Callithrix jacchus: one gene and its partner. The protein of the gene in region 1 interacts with the protein of each later gene in a biochemical or structural test. Links are inferred from orthologs where the notes say so. Each region holds a gene or a part of one and is shown on either strand. Other genes may lie near its edges. The genes, in order: RNH1 and ANG.

The links.
Region 2: the proteins of RNH1 (region 1) and ANG are reported together in a solved structure, tested with the Homo sapiens proteins (3 studies listed by BioGRID and IntAct, with this or other methods). The link is inferred for Callithrix jacchus from reciprocal best matches to the Homo sapiens genes RNH1 and ANG.

The regions. Positions count from the first base shown.
Region 1 is NC_133511.1:131,390,202-131,405,377, reverse strand, and holds the end of RNH1 (ribonuclease inhibitor), read right to left. Parts: 5' UTR 12,471-15,176; intron 9,989-12,470; 5' UTR 9,970-9,988; coding exon 9,872-9,969; intron 7,737-9,871; coding exon 7,566-7,736; intron 7,052-7,565; coding exon 6,881-7,051; intron 6,286-6,880; coding exon 6,115-6,285; intron 6,035-6,114; coding exon 5,864-6,034; intron 5,726-5,863; coding exon 5,555-5,725; intron 5,264-5,554; coding exon 5,093-5,263; intron 2,344-5,092; coding exon 2,173-2,343; intron 2,083-2,172; coding exon 1,995-2,082; 3' UTR 1,822-1,994; downstream 1-1,821. UniProt on the Homo sapiens protein: Ribonuclease inhibitor which inhibits RNASE1, RNASE2 and angiogenin (ANG). May play a role in redox homeostasis. Required to inhibit the cytotoxic tRNA ribonuclease activity of ANG in the cytoplasm in absence of stress.
Region 2 is NC_133509.1:55,339,964-55,355,624, reverse strand, and holds the start of ANG (angiogenin precursor), read right to left. Parts: upstream 10,517-15,661; 5' UTR 9,934-10,516; intron 3,036-9,933; exon of another isoform or gene 2,935-3,035; intron 1-2,934. UniProt on the Homo sapiens protein: Secreted ribonuclease that can either promote or restrict cell proliferation of target cells, depending on the context. Endocytosed in target cells via its receptor PLXNB2 and translocates to the cytoplasm or nucleus.

The DNA of each region.
Region 1 (15,176 bases):
AGAGCAGAGCAGGTGGGGGCACAGCTGGGGATCCAAGAGGGTCCAGGTCCACCCACCCCCTGCTGCATTCATTCCTTGCTGGGAGGCTGAGCTGGTGACCACTGGCCAGTGGACACAGGATTTCTGGGGAGGGGCACTGCCTTCTCAGGCCAGTTTTTTTGAGATGGAGTCTTGTCCTGTCTCCCAAACTGTAATGTGGTGGTGTGATCTCCACATACTGCAACTTGTGCCTCCCGGGTTCAAGCAATTCTCCTGCCTCAACCTCCCAAGTACCTGGGAGTACAGGTACCCCGCCACTATGCCTGGCTAATTTTACTATTTTTAGTAGAGATGGGGCTCACCAGCTTGGCCAGGCTGGTCTTGAATTCCCAACCACAGGTGACCCACCCGCCTTGGCCTCTCAAAGTGCTGGGATCTGGCCAGACCACTATTTTTAAAACTTTACCATGAAAACTTGCAAACACAAGTGGGGAGAAAAGGGGTCGCCGTGGGCATGGGGTATGGGGTGTGGGTCGCAGGTTACAGGGTCTCCTGGGTGCTGTTCTTCACTGTGGGCATGGGGTAGGGGGTGTCAGTGGTAGGTTGGACACAGCCTGGGGGGTCCCGGGAGCCAGCTGCACCCTCACCCCCTGCTCTTCTTCGGGCCCCAGGCTTCAAAGGGCTTTACTTTTACTGCTTTTGGGGAAAGTCTCAACCCGTTAAGTCATGAGGCTGGAATGAGGAGACAAGAGCAGCTTCCCCGGTTCAGCAGGATGGTGCCCTGTAGCCACTGAGCCTCACACCCAGCAAGTCCCTTCCCTACGGTCACTCACACCTTTGGCCCCACCGTGCCTGTCCACCTCTGCAGGATACACAGGGCCTCAGCACTCCACTCTGTGCGGGTGGTAGCTCGAACCCCCCAGGAGGAACAGGTGGCAGTTTTCACCTGGTCTTCCCACTGCGGGGGCCCCTCCCCTCCCTCACACCTCATGAGTCCCCACACCTCCCCTTCACTCCATGCTCTGCATCCCTGCTCACACTGAGCCATGTGTCTGGGTGGGTAGAGGTGGTGCCTTCCTCAGTCACTGTCTGCTCTTCCCTAAGGGGTGGGCAGGGGGCTGTGATCAGTCCTGTGTTCTGGCACCCGGCCCCTGGGAGCCTTCCTGGCAGCTCCTCAGGCCCAGACAGCACCCACAGGCTCCGGTTCCTCACACCATCAGCCACTCCAGGCTCACGCTGGGTGTCTCTTACCCCAGGCAGGCCTGGCACCAGCCATTTCCCCAAAGAGCCTTGGTCCTCTGATTAGGAAGCTAAGAGTCTGGGTTACTTTGTTAATTTTTTTTTGAGCTGGCTGGAGTGCAGTGGTGCAATCTCAGCTCGAGGTAACCTCCACCTCCCAGGTTCAAGCGATTCAGGCACCTGCCAGCACATCTGGCTAATGTTTGTATTTTTAGTAAAGATGGGGTTTCACCATGTTGGCCCAGCTGGTCTCAAGCTCCCGACCTCAAGTGAACTGCCCACCCCAGCCTACTTCCCAAAGTGCTGGGATCACAGGCGTGAGCCACCACGCCCAGCCTCAGGTCACTGAAAAGGGCTTTATTGGGCCAGGCCAATGGCTGACACCTGTAATGCCCACACTTCAGGAGGCCAAGACCAAGCACCAGCCTGGGCGACATGTCAAGAGAGAAGCTCATACCAAGTGGCGTGGTGCACCCAATACCAGTATCCTCAGACATCCCAGGAAGGACAGGAGCCCAATAGCAGCGCCCTCAGAGACCCCAGGAAGAACAGGAGCCTGACACCAGCACCCTCGCAGAGACCCCAGGAAGAAAGAGCCCCTCCTGCCAAGAAAGTGTTTTAATGATTGTAAAGTATCCAAAATACACTAGCAGAAATAAGCTGATCTGAGCATTTCTCTTCAAATCTAGGAAACGCAGGGTGAGAGCCCAGGGGTGCCTCGAGGCCAGGCTGTCCAGGGAGAGCGGGTCTCAGGAGCCTGGCGGGCAGGAAGCGGCTTAGGAGATGATCCTCAGGGATGACTTCTCCTTCTCCAGGGCCTGCAGCTGGCGGTCCATCTCCAAAGACCAGTAGATGTCGTACAGGCTGCACACAGGCCAGAAGGGAGGAGTAGGCAGGTGTCCTCACCCAGCCCGCCCCCCGGACCCCCGCCCCCCGCCCCGCACAGGCACGTACACCAGCTGCTCCAGGTGGCAGGACGGCTGCCGCAGGCTCTCCAGCAGCATCTGGATGCCTTCGTCCCCCATGCAGTTGTTGCTAAGGTCCAGCTCGCGCAGGCTGTCGTTGGCCAACAGGGTCTTGGCGAGGCTGAGGCAGCCAACGTCAGTCACATCGCACTCCCCCAGCCTGGGTAGAGCAGGGTGGGGGTCAGGTGTGTGGGTAACCCCCCATATAGGCCCCGAGGAATGAGAGCTAAGCAGAACCCTGGCACAGTTAGGGCTTGAGGAATATCTCACTGTACAGTGTCACTACTCAGCTATTTCCTTTTATATAATCCTTTACATAATCATATATTAGTTTATAGAATTAGGGCTTGAAGAATCCCTTGATATAATCCCCTATATGTAATCATATAATAGTTGATAGTATGAGGAGTGCCTAAAGAATATTTCCCTACATATATATATATATATATATATATATATAATTATATCTTAGTTCATGGTCAGAGGAATGCCTGGAGTGGACACAGTACAGAGCATGAATTAAGGAATAAGCAGCTCATAATCGGAGGAATGCCTAGAGCAGATATGGCGCAGAGCATGATTTAAGGGAAAACAGTTATGCCAGGACAAGAACCCATGGCCCAGGCGGCAGCGTTCAGTATCGCAAAGATACCCGCTGTGTGGCAGGCTTGGGGCGAGAGCCACTGCTCCTGGTAAAGGCGTTGTAGGACCTTGCTCCAGTTCTTGGGGAAGGCCGCCCTCAGACCGGCACTCCACCTTGGTGACTGTGAACTCTATCAGCTCTTGCTACTGTGCTGCTCGAAAAGCATCTTCCCATAGAACCCACTGGAAGCTGCCAGCAGGTGGCGGTAACCCTCTGTGGCCCTGGGCAGGTGCCCACCACAGACAAGGCCAGCACGCAGCCCCTTGGCAGGGCACAGCAGACTGACTCCCTGAGCAACTCTCTCCTCCCACGAGGGGCAGAAAGGACCAGAGGAAGACAATGTCCACCCACAGAGCCACGTCCACCCCCCGCTCCCCACCTCCTCAACACTGCCTGGCCAAGTGGGGCTAAGAGGAGAAGCCAGCCACGGAGACCGAGGGGCAGCTGTGGGGAAACGAGGGTGTGGAGGGTTCTGAGGAAGGCACAGTGGACAACAGACTTCAGGCTCCCGAGAGAGACTAGGGTACAGGCCAGACAAAAGACAGTGGAGAAAACCCAGCACTCACTCCCCAGGGTGCAGCCGCATCCGGCCGGAGCCAGGCCAAGGAGCTGTGCTGGGCCTCTACAAAGTGGGAGCCAGGGAAGCTGCAGGACCCCCACCCTGGCAGTGGCTCAGGCAGACAGGCCTGCAGTGACCAGGACCCAGGGTTCCATGCCCCACCTGGAAGGCCCACAGGGTCCTGGCAGCCAGGATGGCGTCCTGAGAGCCCCCCCCCCCCCGCCCCAGGAAACACAGCCACGACTCGCCTGCCCAGCCCGCTGCCCAGGGCTCCCGGGCCTCACTCTGCACTTGGTGCCCGGCCACCCATGGAAAGCCCCTGGCGAGAGGCACAGGTGAAGCAGCACACAAAAGACAAAACACTGATGGTGGAAATTCAGTAGACTGGTTGAGGAACAAGAACATCTCCCAGAAATAAGAACAAAACCTCGAAGAGACAGAACATTTGGAGAACACAATTAGCGGGCCAGTCCAGGAGACCTCACGGGCACACCGGGGCATGGTGGCTCACACCTGTAATCCCTGCACTTTGGGGGCCGAGGCGGGTGGATCACCTGAGGTCGGGAGTTCGAGACCAGCCTGAGCAATATGGTGAAACCCCATTTCTACTAAAAATACGAAAATCAGCTGGGAGGCTGAGGAAGGAAAGTTGCTTAAACCCAGGCGGAGGTTGCAGTGAGATCGCACCACTGCACTCCAGCCTGAGCAACAAGAGTGAAACTCTCAAAAAAAAAATGAGAGGAAAAATCACCAAAGGCGTGATACTTAGGACAGCCAAGTATCCAGCACAATAAAAGAACCAAGACACACATCAAGGCAAAGCACATGGAACCCCAAACACAATGGGCAAAGACATCTTTAAAAGCTGCCAATGAGAAAAAGCACATCGTGCACACAAGATCATGATGGCTCACACCTGGCATCCTAGCACTTTGGGAGGCCAAGGCAGGTGGATCACCTGAGGTCAGAAATTTGAGACCAGCCTGAGCAACATGGTGAAAGCCCCATTATTCAGGCATGGTGATGCACCCCTGTCATCCCAGCTACTCGGGAGGCTTGAGCCCGGGAAGCAGAGGTTGCTATGAGCAGAGATCACGCCACTACACTCCAGCCTGGGTGACAAGACTCCATCTCAAAAAAAAAAAAAAAAAAATCAGAACAGCAAAGTCCTCTCTGGAAGCCAGAAAATGATGTAGCATCACCTACCAATTCTACAGGAACATCTGTAGCCCAGAATTCTATACCCAGCTGAATTTGTAACCCAGAATTCTATACCCAGCTGAATGACCCAAGGGCAGAGCAGATGCAGGCCTCCAATAATTACCTTCTGCAGAACCTGTTCTTAGGAAGCTGCAAGACAACGTGCTTTAACAAAGGGAGGAAACCTGGGAAGACATCCTGACCCTGGGTTCCTGCATGGCAGGAAGGTGGGCGGGACTTCCAGGAAAATGGACCACAGGGTGGCCAGGGCACGCTGGAGCCCCAAAAGCTATTAGGCTTCATGAACCAAGACCTCTGTCTCTGACTCTGATCAAAGTTGCAAGAAGCCAGAATGGTGCCGCCATGCTGCCTTCCCCAGCACATGAACACCCAGGTTCTTACAAACGTGTTCTCACATGGATGCTCGTGCTCTCACACACACACACACACACACACACACACACACGACCTCCCAAATATGCATATTCATGTCCCTCACACACTCACCAGAGTGACCGCATCACAGAGCCAGGCTGGCCCAAGCCCTGGCACAGCTCCTGCACACCTGCATCTCCCAGCCTGTTTTCACTTATCTGCAGCTCCAGAAGAAATTTATTCTGGGCCAACACTGAACTGAAGTGGGAGCAGCAGGCAGCTGTCAAGCCGCAGTACTTCACCCTGTGGACACGGACAAGGACTGAGGCCTGGAAGGGGCCCAGGCTGGCCCACAGCTGCGACCGGCCCTTCCCCTAAAGGCCCCACATTGACCTGAGCAGAAACATCCGAGAGCCTCCCAGCTTGTGGGCACCTGTGGCTGGTCCTCAGCCCCAAGCAGTGTCCCCACCAAACCACGGGCTGCTCCTGGGCCGTGCATTCTGAAGGTCAGAGCTGAAACCAGCACCTCCCCTGGCCTTGGTCACCCTGACCCTCTCTTGGGTGACAGGGTCCCATCCCGCCAGCCACACTCACCACAGCGACTCCAGCTGGCAGCCAGGCTCCAGCAGGCTCTCACAAAGCACCTGGGCACCCTCGTCCCCAAGCTTGTTGCCAGCCAGGCTGAGCTCCTTCAGGCTGTCCTTGGCCCTGAGGACACGGCCCAGGTCCTCGCAGCTCTTGGCGGTGAGGCCACACTCCCAGATCCTGTGGGAGACAGACCCCCCCAGGGACTTTCCTCAGCACTGTGGCATGGCCTGAGGCAAGTCCAGGTGTCGGGGGAGGGCTCCAAGGATGGCCTGAGCCCCTGACCCTCTGGGAGGAGGCCTCAGGGAGGTGACTTACCATAGGGTCCTGAGCCTGGAACTGGGGTGCAGCAGCCCCGGGCACAGCTCCGCGATGCCCATGTCGCCCAGGTTGTTGTGGCCCAGGGCCAGCTCCCGCAGGGAGGCCTTGGAGGCCAAGATGCTGCACAAGTCCCTGCAGTTGTCCGAGGTGACACCACACCTCTCCAGCCTGGGGTGCAGGTCACGTGTGAGGCACACCGGACACCCCCGCCCACACCCCGCACCCCCCGCCCAAGGCCCAGTGCCTACTTGAGCGTCTCCAGCTGGCAGGGGGACTCCTTCAGGCCCTGGCACAGCACACGGATGCCGGCCTCATCGAAGTCGTTGTTGCCCACCGTGAGCTCCTTGAAGTCCGGCTTGGCCCTGAGCACCGAGGCCAGGGGCTCACAGCTGGCAGACGAGAGCCTGCAGAACTCCAGCCTGCGAGGCAGACCAAGCTCAGCACCACACAGGAATGTGTGCCAGCCGAGGGCGTGATGCCAGGGAGTGTGGGGGTGCTGGCGTCTCTTCCCCCCAGCCTCCTGCCTGGGCACCAGCTGGGAGTGCTGAGGGCCCCCTAGAGACTCATCCAAGGTGGCTGGTCAGGGACAGACAGCCAGAGGCTCAGGCCTCTGTGGTCACTGGCATTCCTTCTGGAAACCCCTCACTAACCAACGGACCCACCTCAGACTCTGGAACCCAACCAGGCCCAAGAGAAAGAAGCCAGCCTCTGGAGGGCCGGGCCACCTTCCATGCCGGCTATGTTCAACTCAGTGGCCAGGCCCCCCACACACCGGGGTGCCCCCCACACACTGGGGTGCTGAGTGCAGCCTGACTCAAGGCCACACATCTGTTCCCACTGTCAGGTCCCAGGACAGCTGTTCCTTGCCAAGGGCAACTGAGGGGGTGGGAGGGTGACGACGGAGCCCCCCAAAGACCCTGTGACCTGAGTCCACTCATCACGGCTCCTCTCCTGGCAGGGGCTGCTAGGGGACAGGCAGCAGGGAGCACAGCCGCAGGAAGGGCACACACTCACTGCAGCTTTTCCACGTGGCACTGGGGGTCCAGGAGTCCCTCGCAGAGCAGCTGCAGGCCTGCATCCTTCAAGGCGTTGCAGGTGAGGTTCAGCTCTTGCAGGGTGGGCAGGGAGCGCAGTGAGCCAGACAGGACCCTGCAGCCGTCCACTGTCAGTTTGCAGCACTCGAAGCTGGAACAGGCCTGGCTGTCAGCAGGGCTCCCCGGAGCCAGCTACCGCCCACTTCACGGGCCCGGAGCCCGGAGCCCAGAGCCCAGAGTGGTGCCCTACAAACGGCAGGCCTATACCTACTCCTTCCCTGGACGGAATCTGGGGTCTCCAGGCCGGCCGGGAGCAGGGGGCACACGTGTGGCTCAGCCCAAGGAGGCCTTGTCTGCAGAAACCCCTTCAGCATGGGTCCAGGAGAGCCAGCCAGAGGCTCAGGCCTCCGTGGACACCAGCATTCCGGTGATGCCGGAAGCCCGGGGATTGCAGGCAGGGGCAGACCTTGGGTGCAGGGGCTGGGACAAGGCAGGAGGGGCCCTGTCCCACCACTGCGAGGCCACTAGGCCTGTCTGCCTCTGGCTGATGTCGGAAGTGCCCAATGCCACCACCTGCCCGCCCACGACCCCTGGTGGCTCCGTCCCCTGCTGCCGGGCTACCAAACAGGCCGCACGGGGCAGAGGTGGTGCCAGCCCCACCTCACCTCAGCTTCTGGATCTTGCAGGAGGAGCTCTGCAGGGCCTGGAGGATGCGGTGCACGCCAGCATCGCCCAGCCCGTTGCTGCGCAGGTTGAGCTCCGTCAGCACAGGGTTGGCCTGGAGTGCAGAGCTGATGCCCTCACAGTGGGCCTCCGTGAGGCTGCAGTCATCCAGCCTGCGGCCAAAACCTAGGGTCAGGCGGGCCACGGCTGGCGCCGGCCTCAGACCCCACCGCCCCCCACGCGCAGGGACGGCCATCAGTGGGCCCAGAAGACAGCGAGGCGAGTCACAAGGGACATTGTAGAAACGAAACGTGAGCCGAACGTTCTCAGATGTTGCACGCGGGCAGACGTGCCGGGCCTAACACTAGCCTCTGGGTCTGTCTCCAGGGAAAAAGCAAACCTGAGTTAACAGCTGTGGGAGCTGCCCGGACGGGACGCGGCTCGCTGTTTAGACACAGGAGCAAATAAACAGTAACACCAGCTTCTACACTCAGGTGCTTTGTGATTAATGAGTAACTAAATAAATACAGTTGATATTTAAGTAACTGAGGAAAACCAGGCCTTGCTCACAGAAGAATGACAATTGATAAATGTGGAGAAAAAGGCACTTTGGGAGGCCGAGGCAGGCGGACTACGAGGTCAGGACTTTGAGACCAGCCTGACCAACAAGGTGACACCCCATCTCTACGAAAAATACAAAAATTAGCCAGGCGTGGTGGTGGGCACCTATAATCCCAGCTACTAGGGAGGCTGAGGCAGGAGGATCTCTTGAACCCAGGAGGCGGAGGTTGCAGTGAGCCGAGATCACGCCACTGCACTCCAGCCTGGGTGACAGCGAGATTCCATCTGAAAAAAAAATTGAGGAGAAAAGAAAGAAGTTACAGAAGAATTCAGGCCAGCTGCAGTGGCTCACGCCTGTAATCCCAGCACTTTGGGAGGCCGAGGCAGGCAGATCATCTGAGGTCAGGAGTTCTAGATCAGCCTGGCCAACATGGTGAAACCTCATCTCTACCAAAAATACAGAAAGGAGCCAGGCATGGTGGTGCGCGCCTGCAGTCCCAGCTACTCGGGAGGCTGAGGCAGGAGAATCGCTTGAACCCAGGAGGTGGATGTTGTGGTGACCCGAGGTCAAGCCACTGTGCTCCATTCTGGGTGACAGAGCAAGACCCTGTCTCAAAAAAAAAAAAGAAAGAAAAGGAAAAAAAGTACAAAATCCTAACGAGACAGATCTCACAGGAACCACCGTCCGGCAGGAGCCTCTGATGCATGCCGAACATGGCAGGCAGGTGGAACGCAGACATAGGAGTGAGCAGGGCCTCAGTAGCCCCACCAGCCAGCACCTCCGCCACCAGAACTCGGGAGGCTGAGGCAGGAGGATCACTTGAGCCCAGGAGGGCGAGGCTGCAGTGAGCCATGATTGAGCCACTCCAGCCTGAGTGACAGAGCGAGGCCCTGTCCCTAAACGTAAGAATTTAAAGTATCTGTCGAAGGCACTGATCAGTCACAGAAGGAAAAGCAGTGACGTCGCAGGGGAGGGCGTCAGCATGGGCCCGGCAGGCGCCCGAGTTCTTCCCAAAAGTGCGTGGGTTCAACCATGGGAAACCATCAGACACCCCAACAGAGGACACCCCACGTCTGCCTGTCCAGACACTCGGACCACCAAGAACCCGGAGAGATGAGGGGACGGTCACAGTTGGGAGAGGGCCATGGAGACAGAGGACTGGAAGAGGAAAAGGGCGGGGGAGAGGAGACTGCTTGGAGGTGCTGGGCTGGCGCCATCGTCCCCGTACACACAGGACCGCCTCACCAGGGGAGAGCCGTGCAATCCTCCCAACTCCTCTGCAAGCCTGACACGACTTCAAATAACCAGTGAGAGGAAAGATGAGGCCCACGCAGGCACTTGTTCCTGCTGTGAAGCCGCTGGGTTTGTGAGGACCTTGAGGGCCGAGGACTCCCAGCCCCAAGCTAGGCAGGGACAGCCAGTGCCCACGGATGCCCACTAAGGGGACCCAAGCTGTGTCCTGCCCCTTGTGTTTCCAGGGGAGGGAGAGGGCCCAGGACGCTGGAGCCAGAGACCCACTGGCTGGTGCCCGCCCACCTCAGCCCGCTGCATGAGCCCAGAATGATTTTACATTCCTAAATCATTGAAAAGCAATACAAGAATCACATTTCACACGTGGAGGCTGCATAGAATTCACACTGCCCATCTATTAAACAAGGTGTTCCACAGAAGCACACCTTCAGAGGAGCTGCCACCCGCAAACCTGCCCCTGCCAGTGCCCCAAAGCCACCCCAAGGGCAAGTGTACCTGACCGTGTGGCACTGCTGGAGCAGGGGGAGCAGCTTGGCCCATCTACCACTCAGCTCTTCACACTGGATGTCCAGGCACTGCGTGTCCACACTCATGGCGGAGGTCGGGAGTAGCCTGGGTTAGGGGCAGAGGGAAGAGAACGTCTTGGCGGAATCCCCTCAGTTTTGCCAGCTGGGAGTCTGCAAATTCTGCCACAAGGCTGATGCTTCAGGAGGAGCCACAGCCTCTCCCGGGCCAGCACTTCCTCTTCAGGAGCTTCCCACCTTTGTCCAGGAGCAGGGGCCAGGACCCACCCCTGGAAAGGCCACCATGGGCAGCAGAGCTTGGGGACACAGATGCCAGCCCAGCCTCTGTGGGCACCTCCTCCTGCCCCACAGAGGCAGGGACAGCAGCAGCCCAGGAAGCCTGGCCTCTAATTTGCCTGGGCAGGGACAGGGTAGGGATGGGTGGTCGGAGACCCGGGCAGGGGAGCAACGGGGCCTGTGCCTCACTCAGGGGAAGTGGACTGGGCGGGCCAGGCAGGCTGCCCATAGAGCCCAAGACCTCCCAGGATGCCAGGATCCTGGACCCCAGCACCTCCCACACAACCAGGCTCCATGGCCCTGAAACAGCTGGCAGGAGGGGCACCAGCCAGTGCCCGCACAGGGCGGAGCAGGTGGGGTAGGCACTTGGGGTGTCAGCTTTCATGTCCCCTTCTGGGGCTAGGGACTCTTCACCAGGCCAGGGCACGTCCCCCGCCCCACAGCACGCCCCCCGCCCCACAGCATGCCAGCCTACAGAGGCCTGGCTGTCAGGCTCGCCCAGGACTGGCACAGCTGCCATACCCTGAAACCTCCTGAGGGACAGGCACAGAGCCGGAATGAATGCAAGACCGGCTGCCCTGAGAGCACAGCTCAGGACCCACCTGCCTGCCAGGGCCTGGGGAACGAAGTGGTCAGGCTGAGACAGCTACCCCAAAGCCTGGTAGGTGGATACATTCCCAGAGCACCTGCCAAGCACTGGCCTGGGGGCCTCAGCAGGGCGGGAACCTGGAGAGGAGGGGGACCCTGGAGGTAGCAGTCCTGATGCCATGCTGGGGGGAGGGGCGGGCACAGTAGGGAGAGGGCTCTCATCCCAGAGCCACAGAAAGCTGGCAGGCCACACTCCAGGAATGACAAATCCCCAGCTGCCCTTCACAAAGACAGCCGACAGTACAGCTCAGAGGCCGCTGCTGAAACCCTAAGCTTCCTGGTGCCTGGCACGCCCTCCCAGGGATGGTTCTGAGGCAGCCAGTCCACTCTGGCTGAATGGGGGGAAGAGGCCCCTGGTACCCACTAGGAGGAAAGAGCAGGGCTGTGTCTGGGTCCACATGCCTCAGCGCCGGGCCTGCAAGGGTGCTGTGGCAAAGGGCAGTGACACCCCACCGCCCCAAGCATGTGAGCAAACCCAACCAGGGCGTGGTCACCCAAACCCTGACTCCAGAATTGAGTCACTGGGAGGCACTGTGGGCGGAAAAGGGGGAAGCAGAGCCTTGGGGGGGCTCCCCAGGCTGCACGCGCTCCCTGAATCAGCCTGACACTCCTGTGTCCTCTGCACCCAGAGGAAGCTGACCCCAAGGTGTCTTCCTCCTGAGAAAGCTTGGTGGGGGCCCAGAGCGGCCAGCACTCCCATGACCACCTGAGACGAGGGCTGTGGGAGGGGCTCAGTCCCCATCACTCAGGCTTGACCAGACCGTGCTGTATCCCCAGGGCTGCACCCTGGAGCCAGGAAGGCACATCTGAACCTGTGTAGGACACTGAGCCCACTGAAGACCCCATGAGCATGTGGGTGTGCCCACCCTTCTGTTTCTGGAGGAGGCCCCCACCCCCCTATTCAGCCAGGGCTAAAAGCACATTCAGGCACCACCGCCGCCAGCTGGCAGCCTGCTATGGTCGAGGCGAGAGTCTGACCCACGGCCCTGACGGTCCCTTATCCAGAGACCAGACCTTCTCAACCTTATGGGAGGTCTCCGCAGCGCCCACGGCCTGAGCCCCACCCTGGGGAGCCACATAGGAGGGAGCTGTCTGGAGGTTCTGATGTGACCAGGTCGTGGACATGGCAACCACCGGGGGCGCAGGGCCCCCCCCCAGAAGACCCGGGCCACGCTCAGGTGACACGCAAAGGGTCCCGATCCTGTGACCCCTGCCCCCACGCCGCGTCGGGTCCCTGAACCCACTAGTTCTGGACACCCTGCCCCGTACTAAAAGGCTGGGACGGGACCTCAGAAAAATACGCAAGGGTTGTCCCCTCCCGCGCCGGCTCAGCCCAGAACCCTCACCCGGCCAGCCCCGGGCTCCTTCCGCACAGGCGGGGGCGGGCGGAGCCTCCAGGCGAGGGCGGGTCGGGAGTCCCCTGGGGCCACACCCACTTACCCTCTTGCTCAGCTCAGCCCCCGGGCTCGTCCCACTTCCCACCCGTTTGCCACAGTCTGGCCCCCACCAGCCTTTCCATTTAACCTGCACCCGCCTTCAGTCCCTCCAGCTTCCGCAGCCCCGACCACCCAGGAGGGACGCGCCCTGCCCCTTCCCACAACCAGGCCCGATTCCAGAAATTCCCCGAACTCAGAAATAAAGCAAACCTGAGACAGAAACAGCCGGTAACGTGTGGCTGAGGCGAAATGCACAAGGCTGTGAGGAGGGTTTTCGGAGAGCGCTGGGCCGCCCTGAAAACTCTGTGAGCATCAGGCAATAGTTCATGCCTGAGCTCGGGAAACGTTCAAAAATCTTGTTTGGTCCCGCCTTTCTGGACCAAACCAATGTATCTTAACTGTGTTTCGTGGATGTCTCACATCTCCAAAATGCATAAAACCACGCTGCATGAAAAGTGAGCGCAGCACTTATTAAAAAAAAAAGAAACCGGGGCCGGGCGCGGTGGCTCACGCCTGTAATCCCAGCACTTTGGGAGGCCGAGGCGGGTGGATCACGAGGTCAAGAGATCGAGACCATCCTGGTCAACAAGGTGAAACCCCGTCTCTACTCAAAATACAAAAATTAGCTGGGCATGGTGGTGCGTGCCTGTAGTCCCAGCTACTCGGGAGGCTGAGGCAGGAGTATTGCTTGAACCCAAAAGGCGGAGGTTGCGGTGAGCCGAGATCGCGCCATTGCACTCCAGCCTGGGTAAGAGCGACACTCCGACTCAAAAATAAAAAAAAACACCGAGCTGCCCCAACCACCGACACGTTCTCATGGTCTCCTGAGAGCTATGTCACCAGCCACACTCATCTGGCTCACAATAAATCTCTTCAAACATTTTACCCTTTTTTTTTGAGACGAAGTTTCCCTCGTTACCCAGGCTGAGTGCAATGGCGAGATCCAGGCTCACCGCCACCTCCACCTTCTGGGTTCAAGCAATTCTCCTGCCTCAGCCTCCCCAGTAGCTGGGACTACAGGCGTTTGCCATCACGCCCAGCTAATTTTTGTATTTTTAGTAGAGACGGGGTTTCACCATGTTGGCCAGGCTGGTGTTGAACTCCTGACCTCAGGTGATCCGCCCACCTCTGCCTCCCCAAAGTGCTGAGATTACAGGCGTGAGCCACCACGCCCGGCCAGTCTCAATCTCTTGACTTCGTGATCCACCCACCTCAGCCTCCCAAAGTGATGGGATTATAGGCGGGTACCACCACCCCGCCTATTCTTATCAACAGTACGATTTTAAAATACGAATGGCCCTGAAAGATGTCCACACCCTAATCTCCAAACCGGTGGCTTTATCTAAAAAGGGAATTTGCAAATGTTGAGACGCTAAGACTACCCTGGGGGGTCTGGGTGGTCTGCATAAAATCAGGAGAGTTCCTATGCAGGAGGCAAAGACAGGTTTTCTAGGTGGAACAAGGTCACCTCCAGAAGTTGGAAGAGGAAAAGTAGATTCTCCTTGGGAACCTCCAGGACGAGCCTTGCCAATACCTTGATTTTAACCTCCTAAACCTCACTTTGGGCGTCTGAGCTCCAGGCCTATAAAACCACCTATCTGTGGCAAATTTGTTATAGCAGGGATGAGGCCACAGCTAACTGCATCCTCCTCCTGGGCTCAAGCAATCCGCCCGTCTCAGACTCCCAAAGTGCCGGGATTACAGCCTGCGCCAGAGCGCCCAGCCCAACGTAACTTTTTTTTTTTTTTTAGACGGAGTTTCAGTCTTGTTGTCCAGGCTGGGGTGCAATGGTGCAATCTCGGCTCGCTGCAAACTCCGCCTCCTGATTTCAAGCGATTCTCCTGCCTCAGCTCCCGAGTAGCTGGGATTACAGGCCCTGCCACAGCACCGGCTAATTTTTGGGTTTTTTTGTTTGTTTTTTTGGAGTTTCGCTCTTGTTACCCAGGCTGGAGTGCAATGGCGCGATCTCGGCTCACCGCAACCTCCGCGTCCTGGGTTCAGGCAATTCTGCCTCAGCCTCCCGAGTAGCTGGGACTACAGGCACGCGTGGTTTACTCAGCCCATCGCTAAGACAACATTTAAAACGGATTTCAGATTTTTAGGCTTTCCACTATTCTAGAACGGCCCGCCCGGTTCTAAGGCCCTTCTGAAACACTGCCAAACTGCCCTCGGGAAAGGGTGCCTAAGTCCTCAGGCATTTCCGAGGCGCGTGGGCACCTTGCCTGGAGCCTCTCCCCACAACGGGACGTGCCTGGGGCCTCTTCGTCATTTCCGCTAACTCTGGCGACAGCCCTGACGCTAACCCCCAAGTGCCGTCCCAGTTACGTTGCTCTCTACGCAGCACCAGGCGGCAGCTTCGCGGCCCGACATCCCGTCCCCGGGTGGTGCCGGGGCGAGGCTCCGCAGTGGAGCGCGGAGGACCCTCCTTCCCCGCCCGAGACCGCCCACGTTTCCCCCAACGCCCCGTGGTGGGAGCCGAGCGCGTCTTCTCCAGGGCGGTCATTCCCGGGAGGCCGCTTCTTTGGGAGAATAAAGTCACGGCTGACGGGGTTTGGGGAAAAAAGCTCGGCTGGGCCAGCGTTGGTTACGCAGCTCGCTGACATCCCAGGACTGGGGTGCCCGGCGGGCGAGGCCGAACCACGCAGGCGCAGTCGCACCCCCGCGCAGGGACTTCCGGCGCGCCCCTAAGGGCAGCTCGCGGTATGACGACTTGATCGGGGCGAGCCACCTCCGCCGGGCCGCGCCGCCGCCTAGCGCAGCCTCCGCACCACCCCCGGCCTCCCCCGACCCCGTCCCGCCGAGGGAACACGTGTCTCGCCGGCGCGGCAGGGGCCTCCGTAGCGCCGAGCGCGGGTCCAAAGAAAGCCCGACCAAGGCCGGCGCGGGGAGGCCTGGCGAGAGGCTGCCGCACCGCTG
Region 2 (15,661 bases), on another chromosome or scaffold:
GTACTCAATCATGCAGCTGCTCCAAATACAGCTACTGGGCTGCCAGGCCACCCATTTGCCACGTTCTTCATGTTTACATCATGCTTTTCAGTCTCCTGCGTGTGTTTCCTATTTCTAGTTTTTTGGAAGATTATATCAAAGTTTTATTAATTGGTAATCAACTAAGCCTCTTGTTCTGTAGTAAACAAATACTGACCTCTAATGTTAAAGGTTTCCCTTACATACTCAACATCCTTCTGTCTGGTGCCAGAATCCCAGAATTCAAAAATCAGGAAGCAGAACCAGGGCTGCCAGTACCTAAAAGAGTCATTAGGTGGCAGTGGTGGATAGGAATGTTACTAATGTCTTCTCTAGGGCAGACAGTACTTGCAGGAGGTGCCAATGCTGTACAAGTTGTGAGGTTATTGCTGTTCACAGAAGGGAGTATGAGCCAGTGAGCCTGTTTAGAATCTCCATCCAAACTCTCTGCGCTAGATATTAAGACCAAGAACACCTTACTAGATATAAGTGCTAAAGCAAAAGCCACAAAGCTCAGGATCTACCCGTAAGGATATCACAAAATAAATATTACAGTGCCATTTCCAAACATGCCACTACCCAAGTGATGCTCGGCAAACAACAGATTATTCACTTGTTAGTGTCTCTTACTGGTATATATTCTACAGAACTCATATTATTCACCTTGAGTCAACAACATGCTTGCTTCATAATAAATCCTCAATAATATTTTTTAAATAATTGACTTCATTTTTCTCTCCAGGCCTGGGTTTGTTCATCAAGAAAATAAGAGAGTTGCTAGCTTTAAAAATCTGAAGTTTCATGGTTCTCATTAAGAATAATAGAGGCTTTGCTAGTTTCAATAGCAAAGGTCCAGTGACTCTCAGTTACAGAGACAAATTTTGTATAAGTTTAGTTGGGGGCACAAGGCACCAACTGGAACAAGTAGATGACAGGGTGACCTGTAGCCCAATCTCACTAAGATGCATCATCCCATAGGCTCAATGTGAAAGCCAAGCTCACATGACACCTCTAAATAAAGCACTGGACATCACAGGGGCTTTGCCTCCTAAAAAGCCACTTGCTTTTTGAGTATGAAAGCTCTCATGTTCCATTCTGCAGAGGTAAAAGAGTATCTTTACTTCTGATTTGCAGAATATGCACATTCATTTTGCAACAAGTCAACTAAGTTTTGCATGGGCCTACTGTAATCTTGATTCCCTAAGACATCCAGGAACCAAATCCCAGCAAGCGTACACCAAAACCACCAATATCTAACATCTGCTCCCTCACTCAAAACTTTCTCAATATATTCAGTTCTAAATCTCTCAAAAGCAAGGTAAAATGGAATTGGGAGAAAACCAGTAAGAGACAGATTATTTGTGGTGTAAACGTGAACCTGCCTAAGCGAAGGGTACGGAGTCCTCTAGACATATCCTTCTAGGCATATCCTTCTAGATATATCCTTCTATACCCAAACATGTAACTGTCGGTCAGCTCAGCTTTTTGTCAGTGGAATTAGTCCCAGATGGTTTTTGTTTTGTTTTGTTTTTGAAAGACGGAGTTTTCTTGTTCTATTGCCCAGGCTAGAGTGCAGTGGTGCAATCTCGGCTCACTACAACTTCTGCCTCCCAGGTTAAGGCAATTCTCCTGCTTCAGCCTCCCAAGTAGCTGGGATTACAGGTCCCTGTCACCACACTCTGCTAATTTTTTTATTTTTGGTAGAGATGGGGTTTCACCATGTTGGCCAGGCTGGTCTCGAACTCCTGACCTCAGGTCATCTGCCTGCCTCAGCCTCCCAAAGTGGAAACATATCCTAAAGTTAAAAGAAGTCTGGGATTATAGGCATGAGCCATTGTGGCTGCCCCCAACTGTTCTTTAGAGTAACTTTATCTTCTGTCTCAAACTAATCTGCTAGTTTTCAAAAGAATTAATATTCTCTCTCTCCCCCCACAGGCAAGGTTCAGTATTCAAAAGATTCATCAAATTTTACACACCAGCAAGTTAACTTGATAGTTTATGATGAGTAACTATGGTTATCATTTTAATAAATGTGGCTTCACGCTTTTATATATCCCAGGGAAAAATCTCCCAAAGTGAGAGCCTGACACCAAAGGCATATTAATCCTTTTATCACTTTTCCTTCTTTCTTCCCTTCAACCTGCCAGTGAGCCTTCTTTTAATCTTGGGACATGTTCCACTTTGTTTTCAAAGAGCATCCAGGCCAGGCACAGTGGCTCAGGGCTGTAATACCAGCACTTTGGGAGGTCAAGGCAGGTGAATCACGAGGTCAGGAGATCAAGACCATCCTGGCCAACATGGTGAAACCCCATCTCTACTAAAATACAAAAAAATTAGCTGGGCATGGTGGCATGTGCCTGTAATCCCAGCTACTCAGGAGGCTGAGGCAGAGCAATCGCTTGAACCTGGGAGGCAGAGATTGTAGTGAGCCAAGATGGTGCCACTGCACTCCTGGGCGACAGAGCAAGACCCTGTCTAAAAAAAAAAAAAAGGTATCCAAAACTTTTCTGAAAAAAGAAATTGGCAGGAAAGTTAGAAGGAAACAGTGCTAAAAACACACTTTCTGTTTCTTTCTTGTTAAGCCACATATAATACCTGTAGCAGCAGTGAAGGACAGAGGATGGGGGAGGACTCCAGGTGCCCTTTGGCAAATGGCTCCCCCAGACTTTTGGGGATTTTATCACAACTTGGAAATCCCTCCTAAACTTCCACTTGCTCCCTGTCTCACTAATTTTCCGTTATTCACATACGGGCCATCCCAAAGGAAACTGTTTTTGTTTTAAACTTTAGAATCTGATCCATTTTCTTTTTAATTCATGAGCTTGAGCCCAGAGGCTTTAAAGGGAGGAAAATGGTTTCACTGAAATGGATGGATGACTAGAAATAATAGATAAAACAAATAGAACAATAGATTACCCAGGAGGAAGAATCTCACGAAAATCCGGCAGTTTCCCTTCAATAGGAGATGGGTTCCAGCTGTTTGTTCCTTGAGATGGGTTCCAGCTGTGTGAAACTGGCGGCCTCTCCAGGTTCTGATTATATAGCGTTCACAGTAAGTGGGTGGAGAGAATAAAGCTAAGGACTCCCAATCCTAGCAGGGACATGAAAACCCAGGACACTGCCCTTGAACAAATGAGAAGGGTCATTCACCTTTTCCCTGGGCATGATTGGGTTAGATATTAACCAACCTGAATGGACTAGAGATTTGTCTGGAAGGAAAAGTTCGAGAAACATGGCCTTCTGTTTAAAAATTGCCTTTTTCTGCTGTCTGTGGTGCTTACTCTTGTCCATGGCAGGACTGAGGTTTCACTATTCACACATAATAGTCTGGATTAGTAATATAGTATCTCTGGCCAGGCGCAGTGGCAGACACCTGTAAATCCCAGTACTTACAGGTACTTACGGAGGCCGAGGTGGGTGAATCACAAGGTCAAGAGATCAAGACCATCCTGGCCAACATGGTGAAACCCCATCTCTGCTAAAAATACAAAAATTAGCTGGACATGGTGGTGCACACCTGTAGTCCCAGCTACTCAGGAAGCTGAGGCAGGAGAATCACTTGAACCCGGGAGGTGGAGGTTGCAGTGAATCAAGATCATGCCACTGCATTCCAGCCTGGTGACAGAGCAAGACTCTGTCTCAAAAAAAAAAAAAAAAAAGCATCTCTGATCTTCTTGGGCCAACTCCAAGAACTGCTTTGGAAGATGTCACAGAGTAAGATATGGTCTTCCAGTAGGATACTTTTCCACTGTGCTTTCTATTTATTGTTTATCATATCACATCATTTGGTTTCATGAAAGGATGCTAAGCAGGTTATTCTATCAATTTCATAGAGCCAGGAAAGCACGTCTAGAGAAGGTCATGTGACAGCTATTAGTACACTGCCTGTGGTTGAGGTTGTACCCACTCAACTGCTGAGCTTCAAACCCCCAGAATTAGGCTTTCCATGTTTCCTGGGCTGCTTCTTCCATCTTTACCTGTCCACAAGAGACTAACCCTGAAGATTCAATCTTCTGATCCTTGTAATTACAAAATGGCTTATCTCCACCATCACAGCAGGGCTTCAGATCCATTGCTTGCATAAAAACAGTGGGCCAAAGGTTGCCAGGATAACTTTATAAATCTTATAGTTCCCAATATCAGACAACAGCAGGATACCAACTGTTTCACAGACCCCCAGCATTCGCCCACCGTGGTGTTGGATCTAGGATGGTGTTACCTTTTTAAAAATCCTCAATCTTCTGTTGTCATCTGCCTACCTCCAATTATTCAGTCTGATTGCTCTTGAGAAGCTGTCAAGAAAAGAGAGCCTGCCTGTCCATAAGACAAATGCACTTGAAATCACAATAATTATAATATTCAGTGTGATCTCCCGTTTTGTGAAGCTCTCACATACATAACTACCTTTAACTAGGACTGTGTGAGCCAGGCATTACGTAAATATGTTCTGCTCATGAGGAAATTCCAAGATCAAATAACAGATGAATGGTGGAGTCAGACTTTGAACCCTTCATATGCAAGGAGAAAACTGACCTGTCTTTCCAGACTCAGCTTGAGCAACACCACCTCTGAGTCCCAAATGACTCTCCTCTGTCCCATCCAATCCTTGGAGGGGTTGCTCACTTCTTTCTTGCAGATTTACTGTGCCCAGTACATATCCCCAATGAGACAAGCATGGAGTAGGGGTCCCAAGGTGGCTGCATTGACTCGGTTTCAGGTATGTCAAAGTGCGTGTTTGAAAAGCTGGTGAGTCCACCTGAGGGAAGCCTATTTGCATAAGAGTCTGTGATGCCCCTGGGAAAGGATTCATCCTAATGGAAAACAAGATGAAGGGCAGGAGAAAGATATGAAGGCCAGAGAGCAGCATTGGGAAAGGGGTTCATTGTGTGCCATTCACATCCCTCCTTTTTTTCTTTCTTTTTTTTTTTTTGAGACGGAGTTTCACTCTTGTTACCCAGGCTGGAGTGCAATGGCGCGATCTTGGCTCACCACAACCTCCGCCTCCTGGGTTCAGGCAATTCTCCCGCCTCAGCCTCCTGAGTAGCTGGGATTACAGGCACGTGCCACCATGCCCAGCTGATTTTTTGTATTTTTAGTAGAGACGGGGTTTCACCATGTTGACCAATATGGTCTCAATCTCTTGACCTCGTGATCCACCTGCCTCGGCCTCGAAAGTGCTGGGATTACAGGCGTGAGCCACCGCACATTCCCTTCTTATGCAACTTCCTGGGCCCTAAGAGAGGACCCTTCAATAAAAACTGGAATAAATAAAAAGGTTGTTTCCTGAAATCTCTGTAAGATTCTGAAAACACATAGGAAGTCAGTGTAAAGAAACAGACCATAAGGTTGACAGGGGAGGATGTAGAGGTAGGGCGGAGTAAAGTACTTTCCCCACATGAGGGTACTCTTGGGGTGAGGCAAGTCTTGGACACAAGAGCTACAGCATGACGCCAGACCATCTGCTCTCCCAGAAAGGAAAAGGACATGGGCATCTTTAGATGTTCTCAGCAGCCCTTCTGTGTGGCAGGGACAGATCTCACACAGGGAGCTGGAGCAGAAAAGGAGCAAAAAGGCAGCTTCATTGTGTAGGCTAAAGGAGCTAATTTGCAAGTACTTCTACATCCTGTGAACTTCAAAAGTGCTCAGAGAAGAGTGTGAGCTGATCTGGAGTTCTCATAACATGGCTGGGATGGATCTACTTTTACTTCACCTTGCTGTAACCAGAGAAATCGGCCATTAACCATCACTCCTTTATTAGTTAATTGATCTCACTGACTCTCTATTCTGAGAATTTAAAACAGTGACTAACACTTCATCCCAAACTTGTTTTTTGAGGTTTCAATATGTTGCCAGGGCTCATCTGGAACTCCTGGGCTCAAGCAATCCTCCTGCCTCAGCCTCCTGAGTAGCTGAGATTACAAGCGCACATCACCACACCCCACACTCAAACTGTGTTTGTGATCCCTTGTTTCTAGGATGCACCATCTGATCTCACTTTGGAGACCTTGCCCATGTGAAGTCTCCTGGCTTCTCTTAAAGGCTTACAGACATAACTGGGTTTGGTAGTAGTTACAAAATAAGGCCATCATGATTCCCAGGCAGAGCGGAGAGCTTCCCAGGTTCCCAGCAAAGCGCTACTTTTATGGAATCCTACTGATATGCCTTCATTCTTGAGGTATTGGTCCTCACCCAATGCAAAAATCCTTAGGAGGGTAAATTCTTTCAACAGCTGTCTGTAATTTACACATCTTTAGGCATGTGCTTTAGAGCTCATCCTTAAGAACAGGTTTTGGTAACTGAAAGGCACTGAGGATTTGAGGAGAAAGAAAAGTGGGCAGCAGGCGGAACCTAGGGAGGGATGAACTTCACTTATTTTTCAGATTTGTTGGGGCACCATCCTGCCTGAGCTTCACTTATTTCCTTGTCTTCTTTCTCTCTCTCTGCAGCCCCAAGCAAATGTTGAGCTAAAAAGAAAAAGGTTAGCAGTGAGAAGAAGACTAAGCAAATGGCCTTAAACTGCTTTCCCTCAGTCCCTGGTGCCTCAAGGGTACTAGAGTCTTCTGGGAAAGAGCAAGCATGTCTCTGACCAGTACTGTAAACACTAAAGTTTGTTTTGCCAAATGCCAAAGTCCGAAGTGTTTCCGGAACAAAGAAAAGCAATGGGAAGTGGGGCCCAGAGTGGGTCTCCTCCCTGCATCTGACAGAGTACTCAAATGCTCAGTTTCCTTCTGTGAGCAAACATTGCATCTGTGAGTGGTAACTATTTTAAATTAATCACACATCTCCTTTTCAACAGACTTTGAAGAGCTGAGCTCTGAAAAGTCATCAACCACTCATTTGTTAGGGAGGAGAGCTGACAGGCTCATTGCAACACCCAACTGCCTCAGCAGTCCTGGATGGATACGGCAGCCAACTCCTACAGCCTAAGATAACTTGGTCAATGAAAACACCCACTTTTGAGTGATTTACCAGAAAAGGACTGCTGCATTATACAATCCAATGCGCCTGCAATATGCAATCCAATGTGCCCATGGCTTGAAGCACCAATTCAAGCACCAACTCACACAGAGTAGCCTCTGATTTTGGAGTTCTGCAGTAGTTCTGGGGTGGGGAAACCAGCAGCCTGTGAATATAGTCAGTTCCCTTCTGTGCCTCTGGGCCTTCACTGGACAACTTTTGGAGGATTCACAATCTGCCCACAATGCAAAAAGACAGTTTTTGTTTTTCTTTTAAACTTGGCGCAATGAAGTTTTATTGAAACAAAAAGTAGGGTTTGGGGGAAAAATTACTATTTCATTAGAATGCAGCTATGCACACAGTCATTTGTGTTTTAAAATACAACAAGGAATTATATTCTATGATTAAGGAATATTGCATCTTTGTCAATAATTTTAATCCATATAAAGGAATTGCCAATTGCAAAAAAAAAAAAAATCTATTTTAAAAATGTTCAGTCCAGGCAGGGTGGCTCATACCTGTAATCCCAGCACTTTGGGAGGCAAAGGAGGACAGAACACAAAGTCGAGAGTTCGAGACCAGCCTGGCCAAAATGGTGAAACCCCATCTGTACTAAATATACAAAAATTAGCTGGGCGTGGTGGAAGGCACCTGTAGTCCCAACTACTAGGGAGGCTGAGGCAGGAGAATAGCTTGAACCCAGGAGGTGGAGGTTGCAGTGAGCCAAGATCACATCACTGCACTCCAACCTGGGTGACAGAGTGAGACTCCATCTCCAAAAAAAAAAAAAAAAAAAAAATTTCTGACCACTTTAACTTGAAAGTCATCCCCTTTTCTGGAGATTTTTTTCTCTCTCTCCCTCAAGCCCATAATGTCCTTACACACAGACACGGATGCATGGGTACTCTTTCCAAGGACTCTAGCATTGGAGCACTTTCCTTCTTCATACAGAGTATATATGTTTCATTCCGTCTTAGGATTAATTATAAAATTAGATGATGGGAGGAATGAACAAATAATTTCTAAATTTCTTCATAACTCTAACATTTTATGTCTATAAGCATGAAACTTATTCAATAACAGAAGTCACAGGAAAAGAAGGAAAAGCCCACGTGAAAAGTAGAATCATGGCTCCAGGAAGCGACAACACTACTGATTGAAAGAGAGTGAGGACAAAGTCCTGCTGACATGCCTGTTTTTCCATCAAAGGCAAAAATTAAAAGTTTACTTTTTAGCCAACTCCAGGCTTTGTGCCCATTCCCTCTTTGTCCCCATTCCTTCTTTCCCAGGTATTTCAGGGCATTCTTCTGAGAATAACTGTTTACGGATAATCACAGAGAATATACTTAAATACAGATTAAGTAAAAACTTCTAAGGAAGGGTTGGACTGGCCTGCATTGGTCCACTTTTTCATCCATCTACTTTAATTTGAGTCACAGTGGCAAATGCTTCCAGCAACAACTTGACAAACTTCTTCCTCTTTCCTGCTTATAACCTGATTATCTGCTTTGAACAATAGCTAAAGCCATTCCTCTTTTGCTGGGATGGTTTTTTCCATCCTCTCTGCCAAACCATAGTTCATCTCCACATTACTGGAGTGCCTCGTGTCCTGTTACTAACATCGCACCACTCCATGCAGTCATAGAACAAGAGTGGGAGGGACCTCTGAGTCTGTCCAACCCTCATATTAAAGAAGAGGCAACTGAGGAACAGAGAAAGAGACATGTATTGCTCAAGAAACTCATAGCATTTGTGGGACTAGAACCTTTACATGCACCATACAACTTTTTTTTTTTAGGAGTCTTGCTCTGTCACCCAGGCTGGAGCACCCATCTTAATTTTGTATTTTCAGTAAAGACAGGGTTTCACCATCTTGGCCAGGCTGGTCTCAAACTCCTGACCTCCTGATCCACCCACCTTGGCCTCCCAAAGTGTTAGGATTACAGGCGTGAGCCACCGCACCAGGCCCACACAAGTTTTATATTCCATACTAGTACTTTCTAGAAAATCGAAGCTAACTTTCAAGGTGCCACTAAAAGTTGCTGTTTAAAGGAAGCCAACACTGACTATTACCATAAATTCAAAACATATTTTACTCTGCTTCTCATCAGTAAAAGAATTGCTTGAATTGAAGTGTATGTAATAAACCTATCCTCCTGCAAAACTAGTTAGTGGCTCTGTGGTTAATAACTCATTGAAGACCTGAGGCTGCTTCTTGGAAGGTGGTCCTGTGCTGCAGATAATTATGTCACTTGGGTTTCTAGTGAATATATTATGACTTGACTCTAAGATTCTTACTGTCACGAGGGAGGGTCTTGGCTCATTTGAGATTTCCCTAGTCCCCTGAGTGGTGATGAAATTGTTTTTACTGTCCTTCCTTAATAAAGATGTTGCGCTTTACCCATGTGCTGCTGTTAGCACTTGATGTGCTGTCTCAGAAAGAGAAAAAGGAGGATCCCAACCTTCCAGTAGGAAGGCTTAGGAAGAGGCTGTTGGCAAAAGTCTCTAAGAATTACACAACACTGGCTGAGGGTAGGTTAGGGGTGGGGAGGCAGAGGAGAAAACAACAATCCCCAAATGTTAGTTACGCTTGCAAAAAACGAAAGCCTGCTTCAAAAATCGGGTGATTAACCTGAATAAGAAGCAAAGCTTCCTTAGTTGTGGCAAGTGCAGGCCTCCCAGGGCCTCCCTTAGGTCCCCCTCGGAGCCTACTAACCAATAGAAGCGGCATCTCGGCCCAGCTGCGCAAAGTAAAAAGTAGAGTGGGAATGTAAAGTCGTGAATTCACACAAATACTGGACTTTCACTTCCCTCCCCATTCCTCCCTCTCCCAGCCCAGTCCCGCAAATGCCTCCCGGGGGAGACCCAAACTGCCTCTACTAGGAAGGGACTCCCCCGCCAAAGTGGGGGGGGGGATGAAGCTACCAAAGAGGAGGAAGAGCAGGAGGGTGAACCCACCTCGGCCTCAGAACAAGTCGGCAGAAACGGGCAGCACAGTGAAAAGAAGTTTTGTTTCTCAACCGCTTCTTCCTCCCTAGTTCGATGCTGGGAAGCTGGGAAGAAAACGCAAAGATGTTCTTTGGAAACCTACTTTGTATCTGGGTGGGGTTGGCGTGCGTCCGTGGGGTGACTGTGTGGACAAGGACGCAGATGGGTGTGGCGTGAGGAGAGGAGGGTCGGCCTGTCAGCCTCTGCGTAGGTGGGACCGCGCCCCGCTTCTCCGAGGAGGCCCCTCCCTCCTGGATCCGCTTTGGACCTGGCGCCGCAGAAGCCCCCGCCCCAAGGCCGTAGGGGGGCAGCCCAGGCAATAAACGAACCTGAGATCCACGTGCCCCTTCCTCAGCTGGAACCCAGAGGGCAGCAGCCGCGAGGGCACAGCCTCCACGGACAGCAGATGGCGGGAAACTGGCTTCTGTTTCCAAGAGCCAGGTGGCCTTTCGGAGACGACCCCTGGCTGAGCGTCCAGGAACCCATGAAACTTGGTCTTGACACTGGTCGGCAGTCCATCTGCCACGTATTTAGTGCTGCTTTCTTTGGCAGGGCAGCCTAACGCGAGACGGTTTGTGTTTCAACTCCAACTAAAACTTTGTTCAGTACTTGCCAAAATGGTGTGGAAAAGCATTACCACTTCGGGCTCGTCCGGGATTTGAACCCGGGACCTCTCGCACCCAAAGCGAGAATCATACCCCTAGACCAACGAGCCGTTGTGACTTGAGGTTCCTTCTTATGATGCTGAATTTCTCTTTTCCGCCAGCAACTGACCGCCTCCTGTTCCGAAGGTTTTGTTGTTGTTCCCTCTGTTGTGGCATTTCCTTTGGCCTTATTTAGTTATTCCTTCCACCTTTACCAAGTTTCACGTGTGGCTCTGGCCTTACCCTCGCTTATTATCCTCGATACAGACGCAGGATGGGGTAAGAAGAGGCAGCTTTTTAGATTTTAGGTCACATGCTTGAGTCTCACCGAGCCCGTGATAAAGATTTAAGCCCCGCTACAGCCTGGAGGGAACCTGGAGGGGACTGAGATGGAGATCGAGGGCCAGAGCGGAGCTCAGTTGCAAGGCTGTAGGGTACTGAGCCTGAGGACAGGAGCGCGCTATGTATAATCCAGAAGCCAAAATACAACACACTTCACTAAGATAATAGTGCCTCCCCCGCAACGGTTGGACCATTCTGTCTCACAGAAAAGTATCCGACTTTTCAAGGTATGACTAACGCAGCTCAATTCGTTGCTGTTTCCTTCGGGACAGGGTAAGGGATATAAAGAGATTTCCTCATGTCAACATACAGAGATTTATTGGACAAACCGAGAGCAACTGTTAACCCCAAAACAGCAGCTTCTCCTTCGAGCCGGAATCGAACCAGCGACCTAAGGATGGCCACACAGTAAGTACTACAGTCCTCCGCTCTACCAGCTGAGCTATCGAAGGGAGCGCAGAGACGTGTTTTCTACAAATCCGTGTTCAAGACATCCTTAACCAGAGACTGGAAAGAAAGAAATCTCTTAAGATCTGAAAAGTGATTACTGCAGCGTCGCAAAGCCAGCTTGTAAGAACGTCCTGAGTCCGAGGTTCTGAAGACAACCTTTCTAAAGCTGGATTCCCCTGCTCCACTGAGGGGTTCCCAAGCAGAGCAGTCGCCCCCGGAACCTGGGTATCCCGAGGCTGCACATCCTCTGGGTGCCCGAGGGTTGCTGGCCTCACTGGACGGGGACCCAGAGGCCTCGCGGGCACGGATCTGTGTGTTTGTATGTAAGGTGGGGACCGGCACCTGGGCGTCGGAGCACTGGGGCTGAGGCAGTGGGACGCACACAATTCTGACTGCGCAACTGTGAGCGCCGGAGAGGGCGGGCCTCGGGGCTCAGGCCCGGGCTCGCTGGTGTCCTCACTTCCTGCGATCCCCTCCCAATCTCGGCTCTTCTGCTTACACGTCCATAGACCCGGGAGGGAGAGGGTGTGGAATGGAGCAGTGGTCCCCACTTTTTTGGCGCCAGAAACCGGTTTCCTGGAAGACAGTTTTCCACCCACAGTGGTTGGGGAGGGGGGGAGTTGGGGGATGGTCTCGGGATGAACTATTCCACCTCAGATCATCAGGCATTACTTAGATTCTCTTAAGAAGCGTGCAGTTTCGAACTCTGGCATGCGCAGTTCACAATAGGGTTCGCTCCTGTGAGATGCTAAGGTCACAGCTGATCTGGCAGGAGGCGGAGCTCAGGCTACCGGTACTGGTCGCGCCCCAGCTCGCCTCCTGCTGTGCGGCCCGGTTCCTAACAACAGGCCCGAGGATCGGGAACCCCTGAAATAGAGGACGTGTGGGCAAACCCAATGTTTCTGTGAGAATTCGCTTTTGGAGAAAATAATTTTAGCCCATTCAAAAGGAAGGCCACATTTCTCTGCGTCAGAATCAAATTTAGTGACCCAAGTCTCGCCCCTAAAGTCGGGCCCTTAATTTCCCAAAACCCCACTGGCACATGAAACCTTGCCGCACAGCGGGCATCTATCTTCCGGACGCTTAACCCGAGCAGCCACCGCTGGCTTTTCCCGTTTCGGAAGGGGAACATTGATCTCCACTCCAAATACTCAGACCCCGGGCGTAAGAATAGTTTAAGGGGCTATTCTCTCGCCTGGTCGCCCCCATTTCCCGCCTGGGGCACTGGTTTCGGCAGCCAGCTGGGCTCTCGCCACCTGTCCTCAAGCCAGGGCGTCGCAGAAGCTGATGGCGATTTCCACCGCTGGTGTAATGGATTCCGCCGCATTCCAGGCGACGGAGCAGCGTTACTACCGGAACCTAAAGGAAACGGTGTTTGGAAGCTCTGGACTGAAGCAAGAAGCTATAATTTGCCACATTTCCTCAGGCTTAGTTCAGAATGACGAGCAGGGGAATATTTTAAAGAAAAACCTGATTCAAGGAAGCAAACTTATAAGGCCCCAGCGAGATTTGAACTCGCGACCCCTGGTTTACAAGACCAGTGCTCTAACCCCTGAGCTATAGGGCCTCACAGAAACTTCCTTTCTTTCTTTCATAGAAAAGGAAAACATTTGCAAGGCTTCTAATATCTGAGTATAGAAACTAAACAAAGCCTTGATGTTTCAATCCATTTTCCAACCACTAGAATTCAGTTCGCAGACTCAGTGTTTTTGCTGGGGATGGTGCAAAGTGAAGGCCAGTGACAGCGACCAGTACTATTCTAAGAGTGGAGAAGTTTGCCCAACGCGACACAGTCTAACACACAGAAAGATTCTCCACTCCCCCACTTCAGACTGAAAATTAAGAACAGAAAACCAGCAGAGGAAGGAGCCCACCACAGGCCTCACTTGAAATTGCTGACATCCGCATTTTGTTTCCTGCTTGACTCAGGACTTCGTACCAGCAGCTGCCTGCCTCTTCCAAGTTCCCTGGACGCAGAGACCTTTCTCACAGCTACGAGTCTCAGCGCCGAGCAGGCATTCATTAATTCTCAGTTTAATTCATTCCTTCGTTCAACAAATACTGCATTCCAATTCTGTGCTAGGCTCTGCACTAAGAACTAGGGATCCAGATATGATCTTTATCCTGAAGTCACTGTCACAGTCTTGTGGAACAAAAGAACTTTAGTTTTCATGAAGGAAAACAATGTAAAGTAGCTGTGCCAGGTGTAAAAGAGCAGTGGCCATGCCAAGGTCCTCACACTTACAAACTGAGCCATCCGGAGGGGTCTTGAAGAGAGCACTGGCCTGAGCTACACTACAAAGGGAAGTTAAGACAGACAAAAATAGGAGCAGGGTGGTCCCTGGTAGAATAAAATTACGGGCAAAGTCCGAGGGAAAGACTGAGGCATTCAAGGTAACACTGGCTGGTGCAGTAGGTGAGAAGAAAATAGAAATTAACCAAACATTGATGAGTTTGCGGAATAAATTGAAGGGAGGAGCAACCAGAGTCAGAAACACCAGTGATTGATTGGCATGGTGCAGACGCTCCAACAGAAAGCTGCAAAAGGGTAATCGTTATGGAACTGGAAAGGAAGGGATGAATGAGAGCGATACAGCTAAGGGAGACTCTGCTGAACGTAAATATGAAGCACAATCAAAAGGAAAGAGAGGGGACCCTCAAAGGTGTCTTGAAGAAGCAAGATAATACTTGCAGAAAAAAAGAAGCCTATCTCTTCAGGGTATCTGGAGAGGCAGAGGGGTGATGCTAGGATTTAGGTAAGATGAAGATGGAGCAGTTGAAAACGGAGCAGTTGATGTGAATTGTGTGATAGCCAAAATACTCTTGTGTCTAGAGTTCCATGAATTGATAGATGAATTGATCAAATTGCATAACTCATCCATTAAATTAGGAGTTCTACGGGTTATGCACTCTTGAAGCAAAAGAATACAGAGAAAACAGCCGAGACTAGAATATAAGCTTTGAATAGCCCTGTTATAGGCGTCTGTTATATTAGTGTGTTTCCAACATATTTTAAAAATTCTCCTTACATGTGGCTATTTCATGTATTATAAGTAAGTCTGTCCTAGAACACTTGCTTTCCCAGCTTGCAGCTGGGAATAGGCATGGGACCTAGGCTCCACCAATCAGATGCCTCACCCATTGAAGCCTGACATTTAGAAACAAAACAGGAGTACATGATACCATAGGGAAAACCCATGTTTTTCCAAATATGGTATCAGTGTCAAGTTTTTGAGTATGGGTTTTCTTAAATCCACATACTGCTGTTTTTCTTTAGTTCTGGAAAATTCTCATTGTATTAGTTTGCTAGGGCTGCCGTAATAAAATACTACAGACTAGCTGACTTAACAAATTCATTTTCTCACGGTGCTGGAGGTAAAAAATCCAAGATCAAGGTGTTGGCAGGTTTTGTTCCTTCTGAGACCTCTCTCCTTCACTTAGAGTTGGCTGCCCTCGGCACATGGCTGTCCCTCTGTTGTCCACACCCTAAGGCATCTCTTTGTGTCCAAATTTACTTCCCTTATAGGGACACTAGTCAGGTTGGATTAGGACCAACCCTGAAGGCCTCATTTTAACGTAATCACCTATTTAAATGCCCTATCTCCAAATACAGTTACATTGTGAGGTACTAGGGATCAGGGCTTCAACATATGAATTTAGGGGGGATACATTTTAGCTAATAGTAGCCATTATCTTCTCCTATATTGTTTGTTTGTTTGTTTTTAGGCTAGTCAAATGAAGCAGTGGAACTGGAAGGAACAAAGAGATCTGTAACTGGTTGTGATCAATTAGTTGTAAACACCACTGCATTCAGACCAGCCAGCCTCTTACATTGTTTTTACTCTATTTTTTTTTCTCTCTTTTTGGAACTGAGATTAAACATCTATTAGTGCTTCATGCCTTGTCTTCCATTTCTTTTAACTTCTCTTCCATATTTCTTTGTCTTTTCCTCTATATTGCATTCTGGATAACGTTTTCTTACCTGTAATACCAATCAGTGGCCAGGCATGGTGGCTCATGCCTGTAATCCCAGCACCTTGGGAGGCTGAGGCGAGTGGATCAAGAGATAATGAGTTCAAGACCAGCCTGGCCAACATGGTGAACTCCTCTCTACTAAAAATACAGAAATTAGCCGCCTGTAATCCCAGCTACTTGGGAGGCTGAGGCAGGAGAATTTCTTGAACCCAGGAGGCAGAGATTGCAGTGAGCCAAGATCATGCTACTGCACTGCAGCCTGGGTGACAGAGCGAAACTCAATCTCA